Linked DNA regions of Rhinolophus ferrumequinum. The protein of the gene in region 3 interacts with the protein of the main gene of each other region in a biochemical or structural test. Links are inferred from orthologs where the notes say so. Each region holds a gene or a part of one and is shown on either strand. Other genes may lie near its edges. The genes, in order: LYN, MPDZ, KIT and SH2B3.

Region 1 (7,277 bases), on a different chromosome or scaffold from region 3:
AACTCGCATCTCAGATGTTTTGGTGATTTATTTTTGAATACAAATATAGTGGAACTAAAAGTCTTTGAAAATCATTGATGTGCAAAACTGCTGGACTACTTTTCTACTAAAAGAATACAAATTCTCCACATATCTTTGCTACACCAATGACTCTAAGATAAAGTGGGTCTTTTGGGTTGCCAAACTACTTTTGCAGGCTATATCTTATACTCCAAATCAAGCCCCTTCTCCAGGTAATACAGCAGAGTAACCAGTCCTGAGTGGAGTTTCCCACTTAGAGCTGGCTCTGAGATAACTTAACAGTCCAAAAAGTCCCTCAAATCCCCGCTTTAGAAACCAGGACAGAGGACCGGTAGGCTTCAAATGCCTTAGGAACCAGGCCTGTTCCTTCTGCCTTGCATAGGGCCATACTTCATTCGTTCTTCCAAGTAATCTCAACTATGTGAGAGGCTCCGGGGCTAGCATTTCAGACAAGACAGACAAAGCTGTAATCATGGAGCTTTCATTGTAGTATACACACGCTAGCAATTCATAATATAACTCTGATTACTTCTATGAAGGAAACGTTGGCTAAATAAATGGCCCAAGTAACTTATCCCAAATCATAGCTCTGGTAAATGGTAGAACAGACCCTACCTCAGGTTTCCTGGCTTCTGTGTTCTCTTCCCTTACTTTGGGGCCTTCTAACCTTTCCTCAGGAACAGGGTTGTCCCACTGTGCATTTAAAAAGGCCCTATCACCAAAAGCCTCTTGTGATCAAGTTAAAGTTCTTCAAGTCTTAAGACATTTACTTCTTTACCTCCAAGTGAAAACCAGGGATTACCTGAATCCCACCATTTGCCAGCAGAGCTCACTTACTGGAAGGACTTTGAGTACTTAAGAACTGCCTGTATTCTGTCGGTGCCTACTCCCGGTGGCACTACTTTAGGTGTTGCCTGTCTTCCTGAACCCTACAGCCAGCTGAGGGCAGCCAATAAATCACAAGTAAGTCAGACATCCTTATTGGCTAGTCTTAGGGTGAGCCAGACTCCTGGGCCCTGCTTTGGGACAGCAAAACTCTGGTATATTTATTAAGCAGATTTATTAATAAGGACAGGTGGCTAAATCAGACAGATAGTCTTAGGTTTAAAATCATCAAATTGCAAAGAACCAGGGAGCCTTGTTTTTTTTTTTTTTATGGAAAGAATTATTTGCAATAAATAACAGCGCCATTCATTAAATAACTACAACAAATAGCACAGGAGGTAGACAGGTTCTCCCAAAGATGAGGAAACTCAAAAAGGGTATTTCAACCACAAGCCCAGGTTCACACTCAGGTGGGAAATTGTAAGGCCTCCATTCCACTCGGGTTTCTGAGACGGCAAAGTAGTTGGGTGGATTTGGGGTAAAACACAAACACACGTTGGAGACATGACCACAGAACCACGCTGGCTGTACAGCATCTAGAAGCCATCACAGGAGGCCAAGATAACGCAGGACAGTGGGAAGTGACGCTTACACCCTTCCCCCAAGGCAAAAGAAAGGCAACCCCTGAATTCTTAAAATAACTCTCGCTTCCTCCAGGCGGACCGAGGCACGGGACTGCTGCTCTGCAGGCCGAGAGGCGCCTGGCTCAGCGGGAGGGTGCGCACCAGCCTCCACCGCACCCCCTCGACGTCACGCTGCTGCCGGGGCTCTGGAGGAGGGCAACTGCCCGCGGGTCTGGAAGAGGGCCGCGACCGAGCCCCACCCCTCGCCTCTGGGGACCTGGGCCCAACGGGAAGCCCAGATTGTGCAACCCGAGGAATCCCCACCAGGGTCCCGGCCAGAATCCCTGCCGCGCCCACTCTGCGTGGAGAGGGGCTTCCCTGTGACGCTCTGGGAGTGGCCGAGTGGGGACAGCATGCGGCCCTCGGGTCTGCGCCAGAGGGCCTCGAGGTGTGTCCGCCCGCGCGCCCGCTCTTCCACCACACCCCTGCGCGGCTCCCTGGAGGAGACACCTGCTGAGCTGCTCGCCCCCGCGTCCTCGCCCCTCCTGGCCCGGTCACCCACAGGCTGAAGGCATCTGGGTGCCCTCACCGCCCGGCCGAGCGCCAGGACTGGCAGGAAGGGGCGTGCGTCCCACGTTCCCGCGGTCCGCGCCGACCCCCGGCCCCTGGCCCAGGGCCTGCCTCACGCCCGAGACTCCAGCCAGTGGCACAGAGGCGGACCCCGCCCGGTCCGCCCTGGAGCCCGCGCTCTTGGTGCTTGAGACTCACCAGCTCGCGGTGAAAGTAGCGGGGCGAAGGGGGCGGCGGCGGCGGCGCTCCACGGTGACTTGAGTTCAGAGCCCGGGGCGCGACGGGGCGGCCCAGCAGGGCTCGCGTAGAGTGGGGCTGCGGGCTGGGAACCGAGGACGAGCGGCGGGGGTCTGCAGGCTAGGGGCCCGGGGTGACGCGGCCGCCCCGCCTGACACGAGCTGGAGGCTGCAGCGCGTCGGTCCCGGAGGCGCCACGGCCGAGAACGAGCGGCGGGCGGCCGGGCGCGGCGGGAGAGGAACTGGCTGTCGCTGGGCTCGGCCGAGAGGTCCCAGCTACTTCCTGGTGCTCGGATTTGCATACTGCGCCCAGGGGGCGGGGAAGTGACCGTTTGGACCCTGCCCAAGGTTTGGATCTTTCGTGTGGCCGTCGCGCGGAGCTTTGAAGGCAAAGAAACCTGGCGTCCCAGTGAGCGGAGCTGCCTCGGGCCCAACATTCTGTTGTAGAGACGACAGAAGGATCTTCCAGTGAGACCCTCTGGAGTCTTGGCACAGACGAAACATCTTGCTTCTTCTTTCCTTCCCTTCCAACCTAGTTCTCAAGGTATTAGGAAGTGGGGTGTCCCTGACAGGAGAGGTGGCGTGCTCTGATCCCCCAACTTTTGGAGTTCTTTAAAGGTAGGATGAGATGTGTTGAGTTGGTGCTTCATTGAGTTCTTAATGAGTACAGAGTAAGCTCCTTAAGGGTGTACACGGTGGTGTTCAGAGTATTGATGGGAGGCAGGGGGCTCCTGAGTTAAATGGCTTGGCAACTACTCAGTTCCTCAAAACTTAGATTTCCTCCTGGGAAAATGGATGCCTACCTCGCAGGGTTACCGGGAGGATGGGCTCACGCTGTGTCTAGCACACATTAATGGTTGCTAACTTTTTATTCCTACTATCTCCACATCTCCACATGTAACACTGTGTTTGGCACATGACAGGTGCCAAACACAGTGTTTGTTGAAAGAATGACTGCGTCTTCAAGTGTGTATTCCAAGTCAGTAAATGACACTTATAAATCCAAGGCATAATATTAGTCTCAGTCACCGTGGATGCGCACTTGTTCTAAGCAAGATTCTGTTCACTGGGATCCCAGCATTGCACTACACTGTGGAATTTACAAGGAAATAAACAGAACCCTGTAGAAGATGTGGTCTTTGTGTTAATAATAGCAAACACTTACATGGGGACTCTTGGGTGCCGGATACAGCGCTAAGCACTTCAGACCAATTACCTTTTATTAACAATGTTCTTAAGAGGCTGGCCCCACCTGAGGAGGCTACAGCCACAGTCCAGCAGTGAGATCAGCCACCTTGAAACAAAATCCCATAAATCAGTCATTTGTTACTGGTAAGAGAATAGAAGGTTTGCAAACTACTGCCTTAAATGAAAAAAAAAATAAAAAGCAAGGTAGTTTATACCTGTGATGTTCACTGGTATGGGTCTGTAGTGGTTAGTTTCCTGCTGAAGAGGAGGGAGTAGGTTGCCTGTTGGAAGGTGTTGATTGTGTGAGTGAAATCTGTCACAGATTCTATGGAGTAATTCACTGCCTAAGTCCCATTTCCTGGACTTTTCATCAGGTTGACCTCTCAAGTACATTGGCCCTAAATTAAATATTTACTATTACCAGTGAGTCCTTAAGATCCTGCTAAAGGTATGTTGGCAATAAAGAATGGGAAACAAAATATTTGGTGTTGGTTAATCCATCTGGAATAACCTGTGGTTTTTGGTAAAATGTCTCCTGGAGTAAGGAACAAAGCATCATCAGGCAGAGCTGGGCTTTCACTCATCACCATTTCTAAGTCCTCACACAAAAGCATCCTAGCTAAGTTCGTCACTTAATTTATCTAGAGCGCTTACAGTGGGAAACAGTCATTTTAAACCAGACTTAGGTACTTTTTAGCATTGTCTACCTTGGTTTCACATGTTAACTTTCTCTCAACTACTGGTAAATAGTAAATCCCTCTTTGGAAGGCATTGCTTCTTACATTTACCCTTTTCCCATTGTATCCCTCAAAAGTCTTCTTAGGTGCTTTAAAATACTTCGTTAGCATTGATGGATTGGTTCTTGATTGATGGACTGAGTTGTCTCAACAGTCTTCTCTATTGAGAATTGAGCACAGAATGGAATGATCAGAGGCAGGTTGCAAATCAACAAAGACCCCTTGACAGGGGAAGCAGGCTTTGCAGAAGGTGAGGGATGTAAGCAAGGAGGACAGAAGGAAGGAGGAGTGAAAATGGCTTCAACTACGTACAATCCATTCTTAGTTTTTTCAGATTCAGATTCCGCATTTGCAAATTTACCTACTCACTAAAATGTATCTGTAACCCCAAAACCAGTACTCACAGCACTTCATAGTCATTTGTGGACGTGAGCACAGCAGTAAAAATTTGAATCTCTCTGCGTTCACACTCCCAGCCAACGTCAAACAAGGCGATGCCCTGCCTTCTGTTTTAGCTCTAATACTATAAACATGCATCTTTTGTGTGGTCTGTGTAGTGCCTTGGTTTTTCATTTCTGTGCTTTTTGTTTTTGATTTCAATGTTTCACTACCCTCAAGTGTAGTGCTGAAGTGCTGTCTAGTGTCCTAAGAGCAAGAAGGCTTTGATGTGTCTTGTGGAGGAAATACGTGTGTTAGAGAAGCTTCGTTCAGGTGTGAGTTATGGTGCTGTTGGCTGTGAGTTCAATGTTAGTGAGTCAACAATATATATTAAATAAGGTGTCTTTCAGGAGATTCACACATAAAACAAGGTCATCTATACATCAGTTGATGTAAATATGGTGACCAGAGAGACTCACAGCAACCCAACCCTGTATTCGTCCCAGGAACAATGTTTCGATGTTAGCTAATTCATTGTTTGTGGTAACTTTATAGATCATAACTACGGCAAATAATGAGAATTGACTGTGATAAGAACATACCATCATTCACTGGAAGAGACATGAAATCTCTGACCTCAAGGAAATTCTCCTTCAACACAGGCTTTCATCACCACACCCCTGACCATGGCACTTGCAGCCGAGACTGGTCACTCCTGGTGCACACTTTCACACCAGCCTACCCCCCCTGCCGTCTGATCTGCAGCCCATCCTACTGCTTAGCTATGGACTGTCCCTGGTGCCCCTTCCACTCTTCTGGGAGCTGCCTTTCCGGGTTTCAGACTCCTCAGTCCAACACAGGGACTCTTTTGGATTGTCTGCACAAGCCTCCTGGTTGGCCTTGCAGGAAGGGGAAGAGTGGAGGATAAGACTCTCCATCTGACTCTTACAAACATGGCTGCAGACCTGGTTCTTGAGGCCCAAGTAGCACATAATACAGAGCAGTGGCACATGAGACTCACCTGCCCAGGTCCGACCCAGATAATTAAATCAAAGTTGGTGGGGTGGGAGAAAATGGGACCCAATAATCAAGCTCCCTGGATGGTTCCAATAAGCAGCCAGGATTGGGAGCCACTATGAAAGCATCCCAACCAAACATCCTGGGAGAATATGGGACATGTTTGCCAAACAAATGGGTTTCTACCCATCACCAGCATTCCAATAAAATACACTAGAAAGACTCTCATCTGACACACTTGGGCCCGATGAATCAAAACCATTGTTTAAAGTGGGGGAAATCATAAAAATGATATAAATGTGCTTTAGACATTTTACTTGTATTTTAACCTAAAGTATATTCAATTACTGCCAATCTGTTGTGTAATGCCAGGGTGTTTCCTCTGAGTATGAGACCCCTGCTTGGTGTTTCTGTGTCACCTTTCTTACCTAAAAGACACCCATGAAAACTCATCTCTGATTTCTAATTATACCTTTGTGGAAGCAGAAGAAAAGCCGGCAAAGCCGTGTCACTCACTCAGTCTCTTACCTTCTCAGCTACCTTACCCACACCTAATGCAGCAGAATTATTTGCTTTTACCATTATTTACCTGTGACTGCTTTCAAATATTCAACTTAGTTTGCATAGCAATAACATCTTCACTCATATTTTTTAAGTTTCTATTTAATTAAATTGCCTATTTGTAGTAGCAGGCACAAATTGACATGAAAACCACTGACTTTTGGAAAAGTATGTAAGTGTTGCCAAGAGGAGAGGGTTCATTTTGCTGGAGGGATAGAGCGGTGTTTCACAGAGGGAAGCAAGAGTGTTGGTTCATCCAGAGTTCCTTGGGAAGAGGCTGGTTTCTGAAGCTTTCTGTCAGAACTACCTCCCAGAAACTGGACAGGTCGTGTTATGTTAAAGCCTCTAGTCAATCCTCACACCAACCAGGTTTTATTTTCTACATTTGATAGACATGAAAATGGTCTCCAAAGGGGTAGGGAACTTTCTCAAATTCACCTTGCTGAAGTGGCTCCCGCTGGATTTGAACCCCTTTCTGTCTGACTGACTGACATCAAAGCTGGAGCTTGTCCCCTTAGTTTGCAACACCTTCTACAAAGTTGGGGCTTCTCAGCCCGGTACATCACAGAAACAGCACACATTTAGCGCCTGAAAGCAAACAGGGCTAAATGTAGGCCAGGGCCTTCTCAATACTTTCACGTTATAAAGGAACATCCATGCTACCTGAACGAGAAATGTTAAAAACTGAGCCAAATTATAATGGTAATAGCTCCCATAACATAATTAGCATTGGAATCTTATCAAATTTATAGCAAAGTTAATTTGTCCTTCAATGATACACAAAATGGTGCTACATGGTAATTAGACCACAATGTAAAACTATGCATAAAAATATTGTCTCATGTAGTCAGATTGGGGGTTCTGGGGCCTACTGGGGAGTGTCTAGCAGGTAAGAGGGAGAATTGATTCTGACTTCATTTCTGTTTCCTTTCTGAGGAAGGAGGCCCTAGTGCCACATCCTCCTCCTTCCCTACCTTCTGATCTTCAGTGAGGATGCCCAGACCCTCAAATCAAGCTGGTCTCAGGACCTTAGTATCTGCCCTGCCCCCAGTTCTAATTCTAGAGGTGCCAAATCTGTTTTCTAGCTGCTCTGAAGGTATCTAGAACCTCATATATTTAGT
Region 2 (7,258 bases), on a different chromosome or scaffold from region 3:
CGTTTGCATTGTTTTAGTTGCAAGTACAGAAAACCCAATTCAAACTAGTTTAAGAACGAAAGGAGATTTATTGGCTCATATAAACGGAAATACATGGGATGGGGTGGGCTTCAGGTAATGTGTGATCCAGTGACATAATGGTAGTCTCAAAAACTCAGTTTTTTTCCTCTATTCCTTTTGCCATCACAAAGTAGGAGCATTAGCAAAAAGATACTGTGCAAGTTAGAGTTCTTTTCATTATCATTAGTGTTTTTTTCTTGGTTTTTGCTTGGATAACTGACATGTACCCTCATAGTATGCGTGACCCAGAAGAAAAATTTTGTAGGAGAAAGATTCCAAAATGTCATTCTAGCTTGCCTTAACTTGAATAGAGATTCCTAAAGTGTTTGGATGTGTTCCACCCAAAAAATAACCTGGTCCCAATGCTTTCTCCCAGGATTTCCTCACTGCACCAGAATGCTGTGTATACAAAAGCAAATGAATTCAAGGTCAGATGGTCATGACCTCCCAGTGACTTTTCTTTCTCCCTTAGAGAGATGAGACCCAATTAGATACACTGTAGCTTTCAGTGCCTCTATTCCTCTATAAACAGTTTTTTATATGAATAGACAGATAACCCTACATATTTTCAAAAGATATATAATTTTTACATTTTCCTCATGCCTAAGATTCTTTCTTAGCCATTCCCTCTTCCTACTAGTTTTCTCCTACGTGTAGACACGCTCGTATATATGTTCATTATCCTAACATTCTCCTTTCTTCTGCTTTTTAAAAAATCTTCTGTTTTCAACGGATAAAAAAAGTTAAAGATTGTTTAAAATGGTCTATTTTTGTCTAACATTGAAAGAAATGAAAAACTGCAAAAAAGTATCTAAACTCTTTTATTTGAGAAACTAGAGGCCAATTGAAGCCTTTGTTTCAGTCAGCCAGTAGACAAAACATAAAAATCTCTCTGCAAACTATAATAATCAGAACTGCATATTTGCTATATATTAGATAATTTGTAGTCAGAGGGAAATCTAAACATGCCATCTAGTTTGCCCTTACATGAAGCATTAGTAATAAAAGGCACAGCTGGTTAAAGGTACAGAAATAGTCTACTGTCTCACAATTAGAATTCCCCCAAAGTCAGTCTTTGGGAAAGGATTTGGTTCACACAAAATGCTGATCCTGGGGCTCTGGTAAAACCAGTGAGGGACTGCCTGTCATCCACACCTAGGTGAACTGTTGTTAGGAGAGCAGCACAAAGACTGTGTGCTTGGGAGGCAGCTAAAATGGATCAAAATGGAATTTCCTGCATCCATCTTTCAAGCAAATATTAAAGGTTTTGAGTAGACAACTTGGGCCTTCCACCAGTTTCAGAGTTGTAGAGGAGCAACACATGTAAACTAATATTATGTATTTAATTTATGTTTATACTTGTTAAGTTATAGTAAAAATAATTTAAATCAATTTTGGAAGTCCCCATTTATCCTTACAAAAAGGGTCTGAACATTACTCAACTTTGAGAAAAACAAGTTGCTGTGGAGAATGTCTCACTGAGGATAGAGCTGGAATGCAGACAGCATTCCTAATTCCTTCATCTTCAGATTCCGGAGGCTGTGATTGACACGAAATAGAAAGAACTATTAATTGATATTAAATGAAGTGACTTTCAACAGAGAATGACAGTTCTATTTTATCTGCTTTAGACTTTGGCTTTCTCAGTAACATTTTACTTCAACTTTTAAAATGTTTTTCAATAGTGCTGTGCATCACATTGCCTTGTTCCTTCTCGAAAATCTCGGGCCTTCTGGGTTAGAACAAGTAGAAGTGGCTAGCTAGAGCACTAACTATATGGGTTAACTTCAAAGGGGAAGCTCTTGGGTAGAATATGCTCAAGCGCTGGATAATTTTATGGAAGAACTAATGTAAACTAATGTCCTATGATATACCACTGCTTAAAGTGCACGTGTAGGATTCCTTACGCTAAATGAGATCTGGAGAATATTCTCATTTATATACTTGCAATAAACCAGAGAGTTCAATTCCTTAAACTTGCCTCTAATTCAGTATTGTGAACTATTTCCCTATGTTTCAATGGAACAAATGTCATTTTACCTTTTAAGACCCTGATAACATCTTCAGTAGCTAGTTATGGAATTGTTCTCCGCCTGTACTTTTCCTACCAGCTAGCATTCCATGCCCTTATTTCCTTTGCATTTGAGAATGACCAGATTGGAAAATGACAAATGGAAGTGCTTTGCTATTCAAGGAAGTAGGAATGCTTTGGAATTTCTAAGCAGTAAGATAATGCTCTCCAAAAGGGATGACTTGAGATGACTCTATGGCAAGAACACAAGGTCATGTGGAAAAATCGTTCACTCTTGCGCACATATATATATCTGATGTCCTTTAAATACTAATTGGGTGTAAAAGTCTTTCTAGGCTCTGAGGATGAAATGGTGACTTGGTCATCGCTTTTGTGGACTTTATGATCAAAGGCGGAAGAGAAACTGCATAAGTAATTACAAAACCAAATATACAATTAGAAAGTAGGATGAATGCTATGAAGCAAAAGTATAGGGCACAATGAGAATGGATCACAGTGGGTTTATCTTAACTTGTGGGAATCATGGAGTAATGTCCATTCACTGGTAGTGCCGTTCACTGAGACACTGAACAGTGAAAGATGACCAGATCTGAGCAGAAATATCATGGTTCCATTTTGGATAATCTAGGTTTGAGACAGGCAAACAGGGAAGTCAAATAAATACTCAGATGTATGGAGGAGTGTGGATCGAAGATAAAAATTTGGAAATCCTTGACCAATAGATGATAAGCTAGACGTGAAGATGAACTCAGGGATGAATTAAAAAGAAAAGAGCGCCTGTTACTGGGTCTATCACAGCCTTTAAAGATTTGGGAGAGGAGGCTGGTTGGGAAAGAGATTGAAGAGTGTGTGGACTGATGACAGGCAGATCTACCTCAAAGCTAACGAAGCTTAAGATTCTGGGTCCTTCTCTTGCCTGGGAGAAGCCCTAGCAAAATGTTTACAGAGTCACATATTTGTGCAAAACTTTCAAAAGATATATATATATATATATATATATATATATATATATATATATATACATACATATATATAATTTTTTTTTCTTAAAGCAGAGCCCCACATTGTATAAGCTTCAGGTCCCACACATCTTCCCCTAGCTAACAAGCAGGAGCAAAAGTAAGAGTGTGATTGCAGCGGGGGCAGGTTGAGGGGGGTGGACTTCAGAAGAAAATATTCAACTAACCATTACTAATGCATCTGAGAGGACAAGAAATATGTGAGGAACATTTCCATTGGATTTAGGTAGTGGGAGTTCATAGGTGTCCCCAGGAAGTTATCTTTTCAGTGTGGTGAATGAGGTAGGAAGTCAGATGCAGTTGGTTGATTTTAAGAACTTGACCTGTGAAGGAGAGGGGAGAAAGAGTGGTAGCAGAAAAGAGCTGGACTCTGGTGGAAGGTTTTTCTTCTTCTCTCTCTTCTCTCTCCTCTCTCTCCCTCTCTCTCTCCTCTCTCTCTCTCTCTCTCTCTCTCTGTCTCTTATTCTCTCTCTCCCAAAACTTGATTTTAAGTGCTTTGCTATTCAGAGGAGTAATGCTTTGGAATTTCTAAGCAATAACAGAATCCTCCCCAAATGGCCTCGAGATAACGCTATGGCAAGAACACAGAACTTATGTAGACAAAATGTCCTTAAGGAGGAGACTGAGAATGTTGATTGATAGAAATGTATTAAAGATACAAGGGAACAGATCAGCTGGGATGAGTTTTACCTTCATCCTAACTGCACTTTCATTTTCAAAGGACCCAGAGGAGATGGATATCCATAGACTCGGAGGAAATTTAGGTGTTTTTACTTTCCCAGTGGGCAAATCTACACTGACCATATGTTTGTGAAAGCAAAAGGGGCTTTGGGCTGATGGCACTCTCCACCCAGGGCAGTGCGTTCATTTTACTCAATTCCCAATCATTTGCAGGAAATGATCTATTTTCCAGCTTTCTGAAAACAACCTCTTTTATTTGACACTCACATTTCACGGGGCGCCCTGCATTATTTCTGGCAACCTCACCGAGCTCGTTCCCTACATCCCAGGCCTAGCGCCCTAGGAGCTAGTTTAAAACCCAGGACCGCTGGTCAGGCGGCGCCCCTGATTGGCCGAGGCGCGCCCGCCCCGCCGGCTGCAGGCGTCACGCAGCCCCGGCCGCCGCGGCCCGCCGCCTCCTCGGTCGCCGCTTCCTCCGCAGCCCGGGTCGGCGCAAGTGCGGCGCGCGCTGGGGGAGGGGGCGCGGCGGAGCGCGAGGCTGGCGTCGGGCCGCCGGCGGCCGTGCGGGATTAAGTTTCGCGGTCCCGCGTGAGTGTGCGCGTTTGTCCCGAAGCTCCTCGCCGGGCCGTTACTTCAGAAGAGAAGAGAGAGAGCGTGGGCGAGGAGAAGCACCCCGAGTCCCCGGAGACCCCAGCTCCCCAGCCCTCCGCCCCTTTTCCGTCTCTGCCCGGGGCGGCCGCCGCGAGCCGGGTAAGCGGCGCCGGGAGGCCGGGGCGCGTCCCCGCGCCTGTGCGCGCGCCGGCCGGGGGTGCGCGGGTGCCCGGGGCTTGGCGGGCGGGGTGCGCTCGCCCCACCCCACGAGGCCCGGGAAGCCGCTGCTTCTCTGGCTCTTTAAAAGGATGGGGTCTGGAAGTTTCTTTCCTATGCTACTCGCATCGCCCCTGAGCGAAAATCCCAGATCTTTCGGCCCTTTCCCCCCCAAATCCTCGCTCTTGCCTACTTGAAATGGTTTAAAAGTTTTTTATTTCTTCTTTTGCTTCGTTTGGAGGGGCACAATGCCAAGGGGGGACCCCGGGCCTGGCGCGCGGGCCGGTTGCTGTCCACCGCTGTGGCCGCCCCGCATGCGGGACACCCGGTCCCCCGTTACGCGGTGCGGGGCTGTGCGGGGTGGGTAAGGGGTGGGTAGAAATGCCCCCCACACTGGTGTCTCCCGCCTCGGCGGCGGGGAACCCAGAGCGCGCCGCTAATTGGTACGCCATCCCCCACCCCCACCGTGGCGCCCGTACCTTTTTATCTGCTGCCGGGGTTGGTACGAGCATTTTGCTCTCGCCTCCCCCTTCACCTCTCCTGTCCCCGTGCCCCCGCCCCGCGACGTTGAGGCGCTTTTGTCTGCGATTTCGCAGCCCGGGGATGCCGGATGTTCCTGGGGAAGCACTGTTCGGGAGACGCTTTGTGTGTGGGGGAGTGTGTGTGTCAGTGATGGTGATGGTGTACATTTTTGCCTGCGTTCTTTGCAGAGGCACAAAGGCCGGCTATTCTTTCCTGCAGATCACTTGGAAATTGAAGCTGGCACTGCGGAGTGGAGGAGGGGCCAGGCCCGGGCGGGAGGTGGCCGCCGCCGGGGGGCCGAGTTGGGGTTGGCGGGTTGTCTCCATCCATCTCCCAGGGTGGGGCTGCGGAGGCTACTCGGCTGGAGAAGAAGCTGGGCACGAGCACCATGTGCCTTGAGTGGGGAGGTGCGGGTGGCGACTAGGGTTTCATCGGTATCATCAGATAAGAGGACCGTGACTTCACCAAGCTAGGAGGAAACCTTTCCATGTTCTTTTGATGTCGAGAGGAAAGAATCTGAAAAGTGGTCTATCATCCAACTTTGGTGGACAGCTGTGGTGTAACCATCCCTTTTGTGTTTCCGCAGGCATTCCTCATTTAGGCTACAATTTACAGAATAAATAACACCTGATACCAGAAACTAAGGTGGTGATAGTTTGGGAATTTTTACGTGTTGAGTTGGGATGTGGGTGACTGCAATGAACTTTTGGTAAGGGTCAAAACATCTAAATTTGTGTATGTGCTTTTAGCGCCTGGTGGAATTTAGGTTAACGATTGCATTTTGAAAACAACAAAACTTGAAAATCCTTGGCTTGAATTTCGAATGCAAAGCAAAGCTCTAGATGCCTACGCCTGTGCCCATGCCTGAGAGTGGGGAGGTAGAGGGCAGTGGGGATAACCTTGTGTGGGATGCCCAGGTACGCTGCTTGCTAATGTGCTGGTTAACAAATGGGCGGGTCTAGACTGGGCTCTATCCCTGTAGAGTTATCCCTGTTCACATTAGGGTCCTTTAAAGCGGAGGTCTGTAAATTTAAGGACTATGGGTCAAATCTGCCTGCTGCAGTCAGTTGGCTGTCCCCCGTAAGGTTTAGGAGCTAGGAATGGTTTGTACATTTTTAAATGGTTGAAAAAAAAGCAAATCAAAAGAATATTTCATATAATATTTCAAAATTATACGAAAATCAAATCTCAGTGTCCGTAGTAAAGTTTTACAGCCACATGGATTCCTGCTGTTTGTGTCTCATTCTTAGCCTGTATGGCTTTCACAGCTACAGTGGCAGAGTTGAATAATGGCATAGTTTAGAGAGATGTAGACCCTTCAAAGTATAAAATATTTACTGTGTTACCCTGTATAGAGAAAGTTGCCAACCATGGCCAGGCTTTTAAAGTACTGCTTAAATATTCCCTTTGGTCGTGGGTGCATTCTTAACTAATTTCATTGCCTTTCAAGTCCTGTTTCAGTGCCCCCTGAAGTGGCAGACTTTTCTCCAATAGGCAGAATAAGTTAGTGTGTCAGATTTTCTTATTTCCAAGTTTCACTCTCAAAAATTTTTCTTAACCATTTGGTATCTTTTTCTGTTAGACTCTAGAATAAAGTAGGGTTTGTGATTAGCAGAAATTATGCACTTAGTTATTCTAAGTTTAATGTAGTCATATTTCAAGGTATTCTTCAGTGAATTCTAGTAACTTCTAGCTGTTCTGTTACCTGAGTAGATTTGAAAATTACAGTTTTGTTTATTTAGGTAGAGAGAGGCGGGGGTTAGGACACGTCATAGGTTTCTTTGCACAGGCAAGTTATCATTTAGACAAAGGTAATTTTGCGGGGGGGTCCCCTGGACTCTTCCCCACTCCTCTTTCCTACCTCATTTGCTGAAATAAACAAAAAACTGATGAAGTTTATCTCAACCTATTACTAATAGATCTATCATATTTGTACCACACCTCTTAAATGTGTTCCTTTTCTTTCTTTGGTTGGCTCCTTTCAGTATTTCTTATCCCCTCTGGTGTCTGTTTTTTTTTTTTTTTTTTTTTTCCCCTCCCTTTATCTCCTTTACCTGACTGTTCTGGCCTGGGAAGAGAGAGGTGTCAGTCACAATTTTTTGTGTGCGCCAAATTCCTATCATGCAGACATTGCCCT
Region 3 (7,004 bases):
ATTCATTAAATAGTTTCAAATGAATCTCACTTTACAACTGATTCTGGTAAGTCGTGTCAATAGATATACAGTTGGGCACATGGGACCAACCTCAGGCTTCACTGCTGATTATTCTGGGAACTGACTTGTTCTCAGCCAGTTCTTCCAGCTATAAAAACGATAGGGGGAAAAAAAAAACCGATAGGGATGGTGACAGTACTGCCTCTGATGCTTGTTGAGAGAACGGGAAATGTCAGGTAATGGTCCCAGCACAGGGCCATGCACACAGTTTCCAATGAAAGAGCAACAACTATGTACAACACACACATAATGTGAAATTTCAGGCGCCTAGAAAAACATATTGCAAGGGCACAGCATACATGATTTATAAAGTCGTAAGAACAAACGTGTGGATGAGTGGGAAAGGCCAGAATGGGGATAAATGACTTATCTGGGATCCCTTTATAAGACCATCATATTATTTCCAGCAGGATAATAATCCAGAATGTGTCCAGCTGCTGGGAATGACGCTAGCCTCACACCTGCAGGAACAAGGGGAAGGTTATGATTCACTGCTCCCTGCAGGTTCATCCAGCTGAGCACAGGCGTTGTAAATACTGGAGGGGGAGTTGCTGCCAAGATGGTACCTCCTAGCCCTCAGAGTGAAACTGTAGGTGAGCACATGTGGACTGAGGACAGGAAAGCACAAGCCACACATCCCTGCTTTAGCCGGGGGTAGATCAATAGGATATGACCAAGTGGTTGGACCCTGTGACTAGGAGAGGCAGAGGAATTTCAAGGAGGTAGAAAGGAATCAGGTAAAGAGTTCAGAAGAAGTGTACAGCCTACACTCAGAACACTGGAAGAGGAGAATTTTGGACCCAAAGGATCCTTCACAATGAAGATGCCTCACTGTCCTCTTGAGGATACTGGGCCCCCCAGAATTTAAGCGACCTGCCCAAGGGCACACAGCCAATAAATCATTGAGAAAAGAAAAACCAGAGGGCAGCACAGAGGCTTTCTCACTACACCATACTGCGCCTCCCTCCCCCAGAAGCCAGACGGTAAAATTCCCTTTGCCAAAAAATCTATTGGATGGAGCAGGCTAATTATGAGGAAGAAGGAAGCAACTGATTCATTTAATTTTTACAAAGAGAACCATTCTGTGTGGTTTATCTTTCTAGTGCCCTACTGCGTCCGGTTCACATACCTTAACTGAAATTAAAACTGCCACAGCACAAAGACCTAAGGACCAAACCTATCATTTGAAGCTTAGGCGATCAAATCCATCACGGAATCCACTCACTGGTGATCCTTCCTACCACAAAGGGGTCCAGATGCAAGGCCTCTCTTCCCCCACAGGAAAGCCCTCACAATGCCTTACAAGACCTGGAAGACGGAGGCTGCATCTTGAGACTTCATGGGAAAACTGAACGGTAGTCCAGAGTCCCACTATAGTTCACTGCGATGCTTGCTGCCTTTGGAACCCCTGAATTCCAGTTCAAACTCACTTTCTAGCCATCATCAGGGTAGCCTTAAAGGTTTTTTGGGTTTTTTTCAGTGACCTGGGAGAGAGCAGTACAGGGGTTGGTTGGGCCACCTGCAATGGTTCACGCACCAGCAACACCCAGAAAAAAGGGAAGAAGGGAAAGGAATCTGACTGAGGGCTTCCAGAAATCCTCCTCCTCAACATTAACACCTAAGTTCCCGCGCAGATATAACCGGATTTTCACAACAGCTTTAAGATCCCAGGAGGATTTGCAGAAAGTTCCACTCCATCTCCCACCTACCCCATCCCCACCTCCATCTCAGGCGGCCCTTAAGTATAGCTATCACGTGGAAGGGGGTGTTGTGAATCTCAGAATTCCCAAAGAAAACAGGGACCTGCGATTACAGGTCGCAGACCCCGATTCGAGGGGCTTGCAGAGCCCCGCCAGCCTGGCCGGGCTCTCCGGCTGAGCGCTGCAGACGGCCGGGGTCAGGGACCTCAGTGTCCCAACGCACCGTCCCTGTCTCTCCCAAGAACAGGCTGCAAACGCAGCCTCCGGCAGCACCGAGGCGCGTGGCAGGAAAGAAACAGCACCGCGGCAGAAAAGGATAAGCCTCCAGCACGAGATTTACAAAAGCAAAAAGTCTGCAACCTAGCGGCTGCTTTCCACACGCCCTGGCGCCCAAGTTACCTCTGCAGCCGCCACATCAGAATCGCACTCGGCGGACACCCGGTGCAAAAGCATAACCCGTGGGCTGGGGGACGCCGCGGCCTTCGACTTGTGTCCACGGGTGGCGCCACGAGCAGAGGCGGCAGTGGGTCGGTCCCCAGCTCTGGGGCACAAAGAGCGCCAGGTTGGAAAGCAGCAGCCGCAGAGCTAAAAAAAAAGCTCTCCAACTTTGCCCTCGGCGTGACTGAGAACCTGCGGGCCAGTCCTCCAGTGCGCCGGTCACACAAGCGCAACTTTTAACAAAAGGAAGAAGCGGCCGCGCCACGCACCGCGGAGATAACGCTCGGGGTGCAAACCCGGGACTCGCCCGCCTCTGCCCCTGCGCACTCTTCGCACAAAAGCAACCCCAAACTTGCAAGCAGCCCGCGCCCTCAGCCTGCACCTAGCTCAAGCCTAACCCCACTCGTTGCCCTCTTGCCTGGGAGACCCCAGCTCAGCGCCCCTAGCACCAGCGACTGGGGGATCCTCCCGCAGGTGAGCGAGGCTGGGCGCAGGAGAGTCCCCGGGACGCCTCGATCTGCCAGGAGGCTGAAACGCAGGGGCACTGTGGGCCGGCGGCCACCTCTCCGGACACACCCCAGAGAGCTGCAGCCCTCAGGGGCACAGGCAGCGGCAGGGGGCGCGAACCCGGTGTCCGCCGCGCTCTCCCACCTGTCTGGAGGCCGAGCAGGAGAAGCAGGACGCAGAGAAAATCCCAGGCGCCGCGAGCGCCTCTCATCGCGGTGGCTGCTCTGGGATCGGAGCTCCGTTCCAGGTTCCAGCTCTCGCCCAAGTGCACCGAGCGCGGCAAAGCCGAGCCCCCAGAGCCGCGAGCGCGGAGCAGCAGCCCCTCCTCCCAGCGCCCTCCCTCTGAGCGCCGGCCACGCCCCTTCTCGGCGCCCCTCCTCGCCTCCCCTCCCTCCCTCGCTCCCTCCCTGCGGCGTTTGGCCCTTGCTCTTTCGACCTGGTAATCCCGTGGGGGTTAAACCCACGGGGAGAAGGAGGGCGTGCCAGCCTTTGCTGCCCGCTTTCAAAACCGGAGCCCCTCTCCACCTCTCGTCCCCTGTGATGTGATCGGTCTACCAGAAGCCGTTCCCGGACGAGGGTGGTGCTGCCCGCGCGCTTTGTGAAGCTGGGCACCACGCGCACATTAGGACACGGGCCCGCCACCTGGCAGGTGCTCCCCAGATAATAAAGGTCCGCCGCTCTCTCCTCGAGCACGCCCGCGAGGGAAGAGGCTGGACGCCGCAGGTGGTGGACGTGGTGCCGGGACAGGAATTGGGGCGCAGTGGAAAGGGGGTTAGGAATTAGAGCCCGATATTCTTTTCCATTCCTGTTAGTCGAGGGAGACCAGGCGCGGCGCCTGGCACAGCGGTAAAAGGCTCAGCCAGGGCGTAGGTAATTCTTTATGCTCGATTTCTCCACCTGCTCCCTAACCTGTAACAGCACAGTTGGTTTCTATTCGTCAGAGTGGCCTCAGCCCAACAAGCTCCTGCTGAGACTTCTAGAGACTGGGGCTTTGGAGTGGGGAGGGGCGCCTTGCGAAGTTTGCTCCGGGATCCACAGTCGTGCTAAAACCCTTTGGGCGCCTTTTTTTTTTCCCCCCTTTCCCTGTATGGTTTCTCTGCCTCTCTATCAGACGACAGTTATAGGGGTGGGGATCCGAGGGTTCCTCTTAGCTGCCTTACAGCTAAGGCAGCTCTAAGGGAGCAAAATAATAGTAAAATGATTCTCTTAAGCCAGGTGCCACTGCCTAGGAAGTGCTTTACCCAAGGTAACAGTACTATCTGTATAGAGTTTTATAGTTCCTTCTTACACTGAATATTATTTCATGCTCACAATAACAGTTTTGTGAGGTAGGTAGAGCAGATACGTTTATTATTTTATTTCTAAAAGTGGTTCGATCACTTTTAGAAATAGCTAACAGCTAACAGAGGAGACCCAGTCATTTTAAGAATAATTCGAGGTATGATGAGCTTTCCCTATGCATTCTAATAACACAGTAAAACACCCCTTCAGAGAGCTTCAGGATGGAAACTAAATGGGAAGAGGGGGGTTGCCCATCAGAAAGTGATGGAATAATTTAGATATACTTAGACTCTTCTCTACAATAGCATCCAAAATTTGTAACTACCCCCCCCACACACACACACTTTATTTAATATTGAAATCTCTCCTGTCTGATGTTGATATAGGACCTAAGCTGGTTTAAGAAAAATGATTTTCAAAGCTAAACAAACAACTTAAAAATTGTCACTACTCGATCAATGTGTATGATTGCTTGTCTAAATTTGTTTATTCATTCAACAAGCATTTAGGTGTCTACTGGGAACAAAGAGGCACTATTGTTAATAGACAGATGTGGGCCCTACCACAATCTTTACAGTCAAGTGGGAGAACCACACCCCAGTATCCTAGCAAATGGTTCAAGTTGTACAGCTAAAATTCAAAGTTCTCTGTTTGTGTTTTGGGCCATTGGACCGTATCTTTTTCTTAGGATGACAGAGGTAAAAGCTACCACTCAAAGCAATCATGAGTTTCTGGGATCTTGATTTATTTCTAAAATCCATTTTGTAGTGAGAAAAAATCACTATGGGTTAAAATACCAACAATATGCCTTAGAGAAAATTTACAATTTTCTCCTTCAATCAACTGAGATTGGAAAGGATAACAAGTCTTCAGAAGAGTGGGTGAAAAGAGACCATATTGCAATTTAATTCTAAGCAGGAAAATTCTATTAGGAAAAATACCAGAATAGGGAATTTTACAATGCTGGACCGTCATTCATATTCACCATTCAACAAACATCTATTGAGCACCTAGGTAGGCACAAGACCTACAAAAAATCAATTAAGACAAAGTCCCTGTCTAGAGGGATTCATAGTCCTGGGGGAATAAAACATACCCAAATAAGAAACTATAATATCTTCTACCAGAGCTCATGTGCAGCCAGTACACACCACGTTGGCCATATTGATTGGTAGAATGTTGAAATCCTTCTGCACTCATTGGGGAAAAAAGCTGCCACTCCCCTAAATATCTAAATGCTGCCTAAATCCAACCCCTTTCTTTTTTTTTTTTTTTCTCATCAGATCCAGCAATTAAAGGTTTAATACTGGGCAGAGCAGAGATCTCCAGTCTCTGCGCCTTTATGGTTCATACCCCCTGCCAGCTAATGTACTATAAGGAGGCATCTAGAAGAGACTAGGAATGAACTGTTTTCAGAATGAAATATCTTAGAACATGTCCAACAGAAATACTTACAATGATGGAAATGTTTTATATCTCAGGATGTATGGGACCGGTTCTGTACTCTATTTTGTGATAGCCCTGGACCCTTTCATGAATTATACTTTACATTTTTTATTGTATTTATAATTGTATTTTTGACTGCAAGTTGTAGAAACCCAGCTTAAATTGACTTAAGCAAACAAAGAAACCTAAAATTTATTGGCTTTTACAACTGAAAAGTCCAGGCAGACTTTCCCAGATCCAAAAACTGAAAGTCATAAGGACTCAAAAGTGGTGGTGGTGATGGTGGTGGTGGTGGTGATGGTGGTGGTGGTGGTGGTGGTGGTGGTGGTGGTGATGGTGGTGGTGGTGGTGGTGGTGGTGTGTGTGTGTGTGTGTGTGTATACGTGCATTTTTCTCTATCTCCATCCGTCAGCAGTACTTTCCTGTGTTGCTTCCCTGTATTTGTGAACACTCAGGCAGCTCTAGGCTTACAGCTCATTGAGCTGTTCTGCCCTCGTGAACATCTATAAAAGTACTGACTTATTTTAAGTCACATGACCATCTGGAACCAGTTACTGAAGCCAGATGGCATATGAGGATTGGCCTCTGCTGGGTCACATGCGCACCCCTGGAGCCAGGGTTGGGGTCCACTTCACCCACATCACAAGGCCATTCTTAATGAGGAGGGGTGTGTCCTCACCAAAAATTTAGGTACTGTCACTGTAAGAAGGAGGAATGATGCTGGACAAATACAACAAAAGATATTCACTCTAGTCTCACACAGCCCAAACCTCTAACTTGAAAATTTTTCATATTTCTGATTATAAAAGTAAAGATGCTTATGGTAAAAACTTTAGAAAATACACAAAATGATAAGAATGAACCAAAACAAAATCACCCAATATATAATTAGCTGAAAAGTTCATTTTGGTGTGTTTCTTTCAAATTTTTTTCCTACGTATTCTAAGGTTTTTTTTCCCTTTATATAATTTCAGATTTTATAATATTTGCTAGTTTTCTATCCAGCTTTTTCATTAATCATAACATACGAGTAAGCAGTCATTAAAAATTTTCTGGAAAAATAACATATAATGGCAGTATAATGTTCAGTTGTATATATGTACCATAATTCTGGATGTTTAATCATTTCTCTATTGTTTTCGGTTTTTTTCCCTACACAAATTACTTGGTGATGAATATCTTGGTGAATAAAAATCTCTTGCCTCTGATTATTTTCTTAGGATAGATTCCTAGAGGTAAAATTACTACACCAAGGGTATAATCCTTTTCAAGTTTACTACTTAATAGTTTCTGTTTTTCCAATAACCATTAGAACTGGCTAGGTGTTGTCACTTGTCCATAAAGTGGGATAAATGAATATATGATCCTTATTGCTAGACTCAATACTAACAATAACCACCTCACAGTTTGTGAGGCTGAAAGAAGATGAAGCATGCTCTCAGTTCAAGCTTTCATTCAGTATTTATTGAACATTACCTATGTGCCAGAGGTGCTACAATAATTGCTGGCAATGCGAAGTTCAACAAAATACAGATGCTGCACTCATGAGTTTTGCAGAGAAAGAAGAGAGAC
Region 4 (7,172 bases), on a different chromosome or scaffold from region 3:
CTCATACACAGGCTCATATACCCTGGCGAGGCCGGGATTTGGGGCCCTCCATGGGCAGGGTAGACCCAGGGAAGTCAGGTAACTTGCCCAGAGGCCTTACAGCCAGAAGCTGGCAGGGACCATATGTGGCTTCAAAGCCCATGATGTTACCAGGGAGAAGTGGGAACTTAACAGGAAAGGCCGCTCATTTAATAATAATAATAATAATTAAAGTGCCAGGCCCAGCACTAAGTGCTTTATGTGCCCTGTCTCTGACACTCAATGTGTGTGTAGGGGGGTGAGGCCGAGGACTAGCAGCGGGAGGTCCCTCTAAGTGCCTTCAGCCCCACCCCCTTGGAAAGGTTCCATCCAGGATGTAGAGGGTGACCTGGGCTGGCACAAGAGGCCCCAGACATCCAAGGGGCCCCATGGGCTGAACTGCTGCAGGGCTACCCAGTGCCTGCTGGGCCCAGGCTACCACCAGAAGTTGATGTGTATTAGAAAGTTCTCTCTATCAGAGAAGGGTCATGCCCAGGGTTCAGAAGAATGGCGGTGGGGGTGAGGGGACCAGGGAGGAAAACAAGCAGAACTAACATCCACGACAGGGTAACAACAATCTCATTACTCCTCCTCCTCCTCCTGATCTCGCTGCTCAAACACTTGGTGAATTCACTCATTTATGGTTCCAACGACCCTAAGAAGTGGTACTATTATCACACATTTGACATATGAGGAAACTGAGACTGGGTGGATAAGCAAGGTCTCATAGCCAGAAAACACCATGAGCTCATCCTGACTGGCTCTTCAGAATTCTTCTCCCCAAGACTCAGGAAGCCTCAGAGCCCAACATGCAGGAGGTGCTCAAGGTGCCACTGGTGAACATTCCACAGCCAGTAACACTAACGATGGCAATGACAGAATCACCACCTCCATGTAAATAACCCTTTCTCTGCCAGGCAGCAGGTGCTTCTCACACTCTGGCTCATTAAGTCTCTACCACAAATCTGTTATTACCCCATTTAACATAATGGGAAACTGAGGTTTATGAGTGGCACTTGCCCCCACCCTTGGCTAGAAATAGACCCCAACAGCTGATACTGCAGTCCAGCCCCTTCCCAGCCTGCAGCCTCTGTGGCCCACAGGGACTCACACAAGTTCTAGGAATGTTCACCCTTTGGCTCAGAAGGATTTTCCCTCCCAGGGGGGGGTTGTGGGAAAAGGCTCAGAAAAAGTGTATTAAAAACCCTTCCAACTTCCCCGATGGGCCCTGGCCTCTAATCCACTGACCCCAGCCCGCCCAGGCGGCCTCTGCCTGCTCTCCCTGCATTAGGCCTGTGTCTCTGGCCCCCACAGGCTCCCGGGAGCCGCCAGAGCTGTTTCTGCTCTGGCAGCCAGGTCAGTGATGGGAAATCCAGACACAACTCTCGCCCACAATCCTGGAGACCCACACGCCCACTGCTGGCAGGGGCCCCAAGACTGGACTAATGGGGAGCCAGAATGAGCTAGCGGCCCCACCTGAGCCTGGCAGCTGGCTGGTGTCAGGGGATGCTCACCTCCCAGATGAGCAAGGGGGTTACAGGTCAGATCTCAGCCCCTCCTGCCCCAAAGCTGGACCTTGGCCCTGCAGACATCGCCTTGACAGGTCCTCTGCTCTGAAGCTCTCGGCCTGAAGCCCCCAGCCAGAACCCCAATTTCACTTCCTTCCACTCAGTCTGTCCTGGGCATGCCCCACCCTGGAGGCCCCCAGCTGCAAGCAATGACCTCCTCACCTACATCATCGTGGCCGCGGGAATGGGGAAGAGAAACAGGAGAATGAGGAAACTAATGAAATAAAGAAGTGGGACAGGCCGGCAGGCCCCCCCCCCCCCCAGTTCCTCAAATGCAGTCCCCATCATTCCAAAAGCCCCGGCGGCCAAAGAGGGGAGGGGTGGAGGGGATTTCTTCGCCAGGCATTGAAGACCTCTGAAATACCCTCCCAGGTCTGCTAACCTATAAATCCAATGCACTCCACTCCACTCCTCTTTTTTGGTGGGAGGATACCCTTGTAGCCCCAGCTCCTACTTGTGAGGGTACCAGCCCAAAGAGACTTGGGCTCTGGGACCGCCTAACCCTTGCGAACCAAATTCTATGGCATGGGGGCACCTGACCCTGCCCACCCCTACAATGCAGGGAGTGGGGAGAGGGACTTCCCAAATCCAGCGCTGTCCTCTTGGCCACATGGCCTGACCTGGGAGAGGGGGTAGGGAGCGGCGGCTGGAGGGGCTCTTCGTTCTCACAACCTCAGTTTGATTACTTTCACTTTCAAGGTACCAAGTGGTGACCCCTGACCCTTCCTTACCGGGCACAAGTTGAGGGGAAATGCTGCCCTCCAGGTGCTTTAAGAGGTGGACTGGGGGTGTTAGCCATACCCTCTCTCAGCGCCTCCCCCACTGCCTCAACTCCCCCCGTTACATCTCCAACACGTGTGTGGGTGGGGGCGTCGCAGGATCTGGAGAAGGGTCACACCAGAACACGCCACCCGAGTTACCTGCAGGGCAACATTTTAGGCTGTTGTGGGAGTGCGCAGACACTGGGCAGAACTAGACATGGGCCTCCTCTTCCCCCATTAAAGCCCTCTAAGCCCCACAGGAGGGAAGCGCCGGGAAAGGCGGGCTTACCTGAGAGAGAGGGGGTCCGGGCCGGGCCGGCCCATGGCGTCGCGCGCCTCCGGGCCCCCGAAATCCCGAGGGGGCGGGCGGGCCCCCGCCCCGGGCGCGTTCTCTCCTGCGCGCCGGCTGCTGGCTCGCGGCTCGCTCGAGCGGGGCTCAGGCAGGAAACCCGGGCTCGGAAAATGGCCAGCGTCTCATCATTTCCGCCGCCAGCGCTTGACAGTTGCGGGAGGATGCGCCCCCGGGCCGCCACCGGGGAAACTTTGCTGCTGCGGCCGCCGTCCCCACCGCGGGCCGCGATAGTCCGGGCAGGCGGCCGGGCGGAGGCGGTGGCCCGAGCCCATTCCGCCCCGCGCCGTTATGTAAAGAGGAACCGGCTATGCTAGCGGAGCCTGGCGGGGGAGGACGGCCATGGGGGCGGGGCCACACGAGGCCACACCCCTATTTTACCACGAGCCACTCAGTCGGAGGGGGCGGGGCTTTCATGGCCCCGCCCAACAACCCTGCTCCTCCGCGGCTGACCAGGTCCTAGGGTCTCAAACGCGAACCCGACGAGAGGCGGGGCTTTGTTAAACCACGCCCACATTTTGCCCACCCGGTTTCTCTTCATGCAGCCTAAAGAAGGGAATGAATGGCCGGAGGGGCTGGACAACTTTGGCCCCACCCACCTAGCGCTCGCAGACCACCAAGTACCTCAGCGCTGCCGGGGCGGAGCCAGATGTTGGAAAGGCGGAGCCTGAGGGCGGGGCCGGGCCGAGCCGCCTGGCCTCTAGGGGGCGCGCCCCTGCCGACTCCCTCCTGCTGGGCCTTATCTGTGCGCGTCCGGCGGGTCCGTGCAATAGCGCCAGCGGCTTTCATCATCACCCAGGGAAGGATCCCAACACCGCCCAGCCCCGAGTATCCACAACACTGTTGAGTCGACCCGCCACGATCCCAGCGTCCCCATTCAGATTCCGTTCCCACCGTCAGCTCAGCTCTTTGCCTCAGCGCGTGCCCATACAAGCCGGCTTCTATCCTATCTACAGATCACCCGTCACCCTACTCCAAGAGTGCATCTTTCTCCGGGAAGCTCTCCCGGACCGCTGACTCCCATGCCCCGTGGGCCTGCCTCTCTCCTCTCCCCCGGAATACTTTCATTTTCTCTATGACCTTACGTGGGGTGAGGTTGACAGTGGGGTTCCCCCTAGTCTGAGATGGAGCATACGCTCAGCCAGCCCTTCCCCCAACACATGGGAGGGAGGAGAGAGGAAAAATGTCTCCTCTTCCTTTCCTCCCACACATGAAACAAGTCGCTCACGCCCCCAGCTTGCAGGGGCCACATCACCCCTTCCTTGACAGCATACTCCTCCATTCCGCTGCTTCTGCCCCTTACTAGCCTTGGGTAAGTGACTAGTAAGTCATTTGGACTTCTCCGCATCTCAGTTCCCTCATCTCTGAAATGGAAATGATAAAAGTACTCACTCCACTGGGTTCCTGCCAGGATTAAATGAGTTAATGCATTAAAGCAGTTAGCATGGGACTTGCCTGAAGAGAACACTGCTACATGAGTGTTTATGAAACAATCCAGCCTAGTCCTGCCCTTGGAGCTACAGAAAGGGGTTCCCCGGAAGGTGGGGATTTCCAGACTCCACCCAGATGGGGGAAGAGGTGCTAGTCTGCTGTAGGATCCTTGGAGACCCATAACCTTGAAGGAACTGGACATAACTCTGTGCTTTCCAAAAATCTGTATTAAATACCTACTGTGTGCCAGGCACTGTTCTAGGTGCTGGGGACACAGCAGTAAACAAGAAAAATATCCCTGTCCTCATGGAGCTGACATTCTGGTGGGGGGACAGAGGACATAAATAAACGAATGGGATAATGTATTACAAAGATGACAAAACAGTTACAGGACGGAGAAGAGGCTGTCTTAGACTGGAGGCTCAGGGAGGACCTCTCTGAAGAGCTAACATTGGAGCTGAAACCACCCCTCTGCCCCACCCCACAGCAAGAAGGATCCAGGCATGATAAGGTTTGAAGGAAGGGCATTCCAGGCCAAAGGAACAGCAGTGCAAAGGTCCTGAGGTGGGAATAAGCTTGGTGTGATCGAGGAAAATCAAGAAAGCAGTGGTGGGGTGGCCAGTTAGGTCAGTTGGTTAGAACGTGGTGCTGGTAGCACCAAGGTTGCCAGTTCGATCCCTGCATGGGCCACTGTGAGCTGCGCCCTCCTTAAAAAAAAAAAAAAAAAAAAAAAAAGGCAGTGGTGATACCTAGACTGATAGACAGGAAGAGATGAAGTTGGAAAAGCCGTCTCATCAAATGGAGACTGGAAGGTCCTGGTGACAAGCTTGGGAATTCTCTGAGAGCAACAGGGAGCGATGGAGGGTTTTGAGCCGAAGGACCTGTTGAACTCTGGACTCTTGAATTCTAGCTGGAAAGTCTGCAGTTGGCAACCCATTAGGAGGTGCCCCAGTGATGTTCACCCCCCATCTGACGATGTGGGACAATGGGTGGGGGAAGTATCAGGAGCTTAAACTGATCACCCTATATTATTATAGTTTTATTACACTTGGGGAGACCGAGGGCCAGAGAGAGCAGTTACTTGCCTGCAGTCAAAAAGCTGCCCAGTGTTGCCAACAGAGCAGCCTGGTACACAGCAGTTGTCAAATGGTTGCTGAAATCTGCCAGCCACAGGCACTTTCCCTCTCACTGCCCAGACGGCAGTTCTGCTGACTTAAACGGAGAGTTGTGGTTCTTCCCCTTTTTAATCACTGCGAAAGCCTCCTCTCTCGCCAGATTTCTCTGAGGCCCAAAGTGGTTTTCTTTCTCACTTAATTTCTTCTCACCAGCATCCCCTTCAGGGCCCAGTTTCTGGTTTCGACGCTCTCCGCGATCGAGACTTCTCACTTTTTGTTTTTGTTTTTCCTTAGAAAGGCAAAGGGTTTACAAGGAATCCCCTTCCATCGCCTTGCCTTGCCTTGCCCTAGATTTGACAGCATCATGGCTCAGAGCACCAATTTCATCTTCTCTGAGGAGAGGCTGGCTCCTCCCACTCCGCAGGTCACTGGGGCCCCAAAAGAGAAAAAGGTTTGAATTCCCCGGAAACAAGCAAGGCGGTCTGAGCTGAGGAGGACCCACCACCTTTCCTTCCAATGGGTGAAAGCACCTGCTGTCTGCCAAGTTCCAGGGGCCAGACACTCTCAGGGTTAATAACAAAATAGTTGACAACAATATCAAGAAATACTTATTAATACCATTAATAGTAATGTTAACAATTGACAATAATAACCATAACAAAATGAAAGTTAAGTGGTACAAGATTAATCATAAATGGGTTGATAAAATTATAATAATGGAACGATGGTTAACAGGTCTAATGAATAATAATAGCTACAATTAACTATGACAGGATTAATAGCAAATATAAAACAGCAATAGGATATTAGTAGTCATAATAAATAACACCGTTCACAGGTCTAGGAATAATAGTAATAATAGAAGCTAAGGCTTACAGGATTAATAATAATATAGCAATAGGTTAGTAATAATATTAATAAATGTAATATTATAATAATATAATCATAGTTAACAATAACAGCACTTAATAGTTACAGGATTAATAATAAATATAAAAATAATAATAGGCTAGGACAGGATTAACAGTAACAGATATAATAACAGTATAATTATAACAGTTAACAGAGCTAGGCTTAATAATAATATGATTAATAGTTTTTGAGACTTGCTTGATGCCAAGCATTCCACTAAAGCAGTGCTGACAAATGAGACTTTCTGTGACAATGGAAATGTTCTCTCATGTCCAATATGGCCACCACTAGCCATACGGGACTTCTGAGCTCTGGAAATGTGGCTAGTGTCACTGAGTAACGGACTTCATAACTTTATTTAATGTTAATCAACTAAAATTTAAATAGCCACATGTAGCCAGTGGTTACTGTACTGGACAGCACAGTTCTGGACATTTTACATATGTTAACTCATTTAATTCTCATGACAGCCCTGGGGTAGGAACCGTTACTGTTATTGCTGTCCCCTTTTTATGATGAGGAAACTGAGGCACTGAAAAGTTAAGTCATTAGCCCTGGTCCGAGTCTCTCCCCACATCAAGGTGGGGAGACAACAGGATGCCGTTGTCTGAGGGGGCTCTTAATTAAGAATGAAGGTTCTGGGGTCACCCAGACAGATTTAGAATTTTGTTCAGCCTTCTCTCGGCTATGTGGTCAATGAACTATTTGGGCCTCGGTTTCCTCATCTGTAAAATGGGGACAATCACAGGGCTGACCTCACTGTGTTCCAGGGGAGAATTTGATGAGAAACCTTACATTAAGGGCTTGGGAGTTTGGGTGGCTCTTCTACATAACACATGCTCAATAAAGAATGTCGGCGTAATCTATAATCGGTGTGAGAGTAGTACATCCCGAAAGGGCTGTGAAGAGTGGTGGCCACAGAGACTTGCCCCTGTGGATGATACACCCTCACACCCTCACACCCAGTGTCCACATGAGGACACTGAGGCTTGAGAGTAAAGACTGTAGCCCAAGGTCA

Evidence for each region.
Region 1: the proteins of KIT (region 3) and LYN form a complex in vitro, tested with the Homo sapiens proteins (2 studies listed by BioGRID and IntAct, with this or other methods). The link is inferred for Rhinolophus ferrumequinum from reciprocal best matches to the Homo sapiens genes KIT and LYN.
Region 2: the proteins of KIT (region 3) and MPDZ form a complex in vitro, tested with the Homo sapiens proteins (2 studies listed by BioGRID and IntAct, with this or other methods). The link is inferred for Rhinolophus ferrumequinum from reciprocal best matches to the Homo sapiens genes KIT and MPDZ.
Region 4: the proteins of KIT (region 3) and SH2B3 form a complex in vitro, tested with the Homo sapiens proteins (2 studies listed by BioGRID and IntAct, with this or other methods). The link is inferred for Rhinolophus ferrumequinum from reciprocal best matches to the Homo sapiens genes KIT and SH2B3.

Annotation. Positions count from the first base shown.
Region 1 is NC_046297.1:22,212,479-22,219,755, forward strand, and holds the start of LYN (tyrosine-protein kinase Lyn), read right to left. Parts: upstream 3,009-7,277; 5' UTR 2,713-3,008; coding exon 2,238-2,712; intron 1-2,237. UniProt on the Homo sapiens protein: Non-receptor tyrosine-protein kinase that transmits signals from cell surface receptors and plays an important role in the regulation of innate and adaptive immune responses, hematopoiesis, responses to growth factors and cytokines, integrin signaling, but also responses to DNA damage and genotoxic agents.
Region 2 is NC_046295.1:25,013,271-25,020,528, forward strand, and holds the start of MPDZ (multiple PDZ domain protein), read left to right. Parts: upstream 1-4,250; 5' UTR 4,251-4,542; intron 4,543-7,258. UniProt on the Homo sapiens protein: Member of the NMDAR signaling complex that may play a role in control of AMPAR potentiation and synaptic plasticity in excitatory synapses. Promotes clustering of HT2RC at the cell surface.
Region 3 is NC_046288.1:16,906,701-16,913,704, reverse strand, and holds the start of KIT (mast/stem cell growth factor receptor Kit), read right to left. Parts: upstream 3,002-7,004; 5' UTR 2,917-3,001; coding exon 2,850-2,916; intron 2,415-2,849; exon of another isoform or gene 2,160-2,414; intron 1-2,159. UniProt on the Homo sapiens protein: Tyrosine-protein kinase that acts as a cell-surface receptor for the cytokine KITLG/SCF and plays an essential role in the regulation of cell survival and proliferation, hematopoiesis, stem cell maintenance, gametogenesis, mast cell development, migration and function, and in melanogenesis.
Region 4 is NC_046308.1:6,770,734-6,777,905, reverse strand, and holds the start of SH2B3 (SH2B adapter protein 3), read right to left. Parts: upstream 3,023-7,172; 5' UTR 2,637-3,022; intron 1-2,636. UniProt on the Homo sapiens protein: Links T-cell receptor activation signal to phospholipase C-gamma-1, GRB2 and phosphatidylinositol 3-kinase.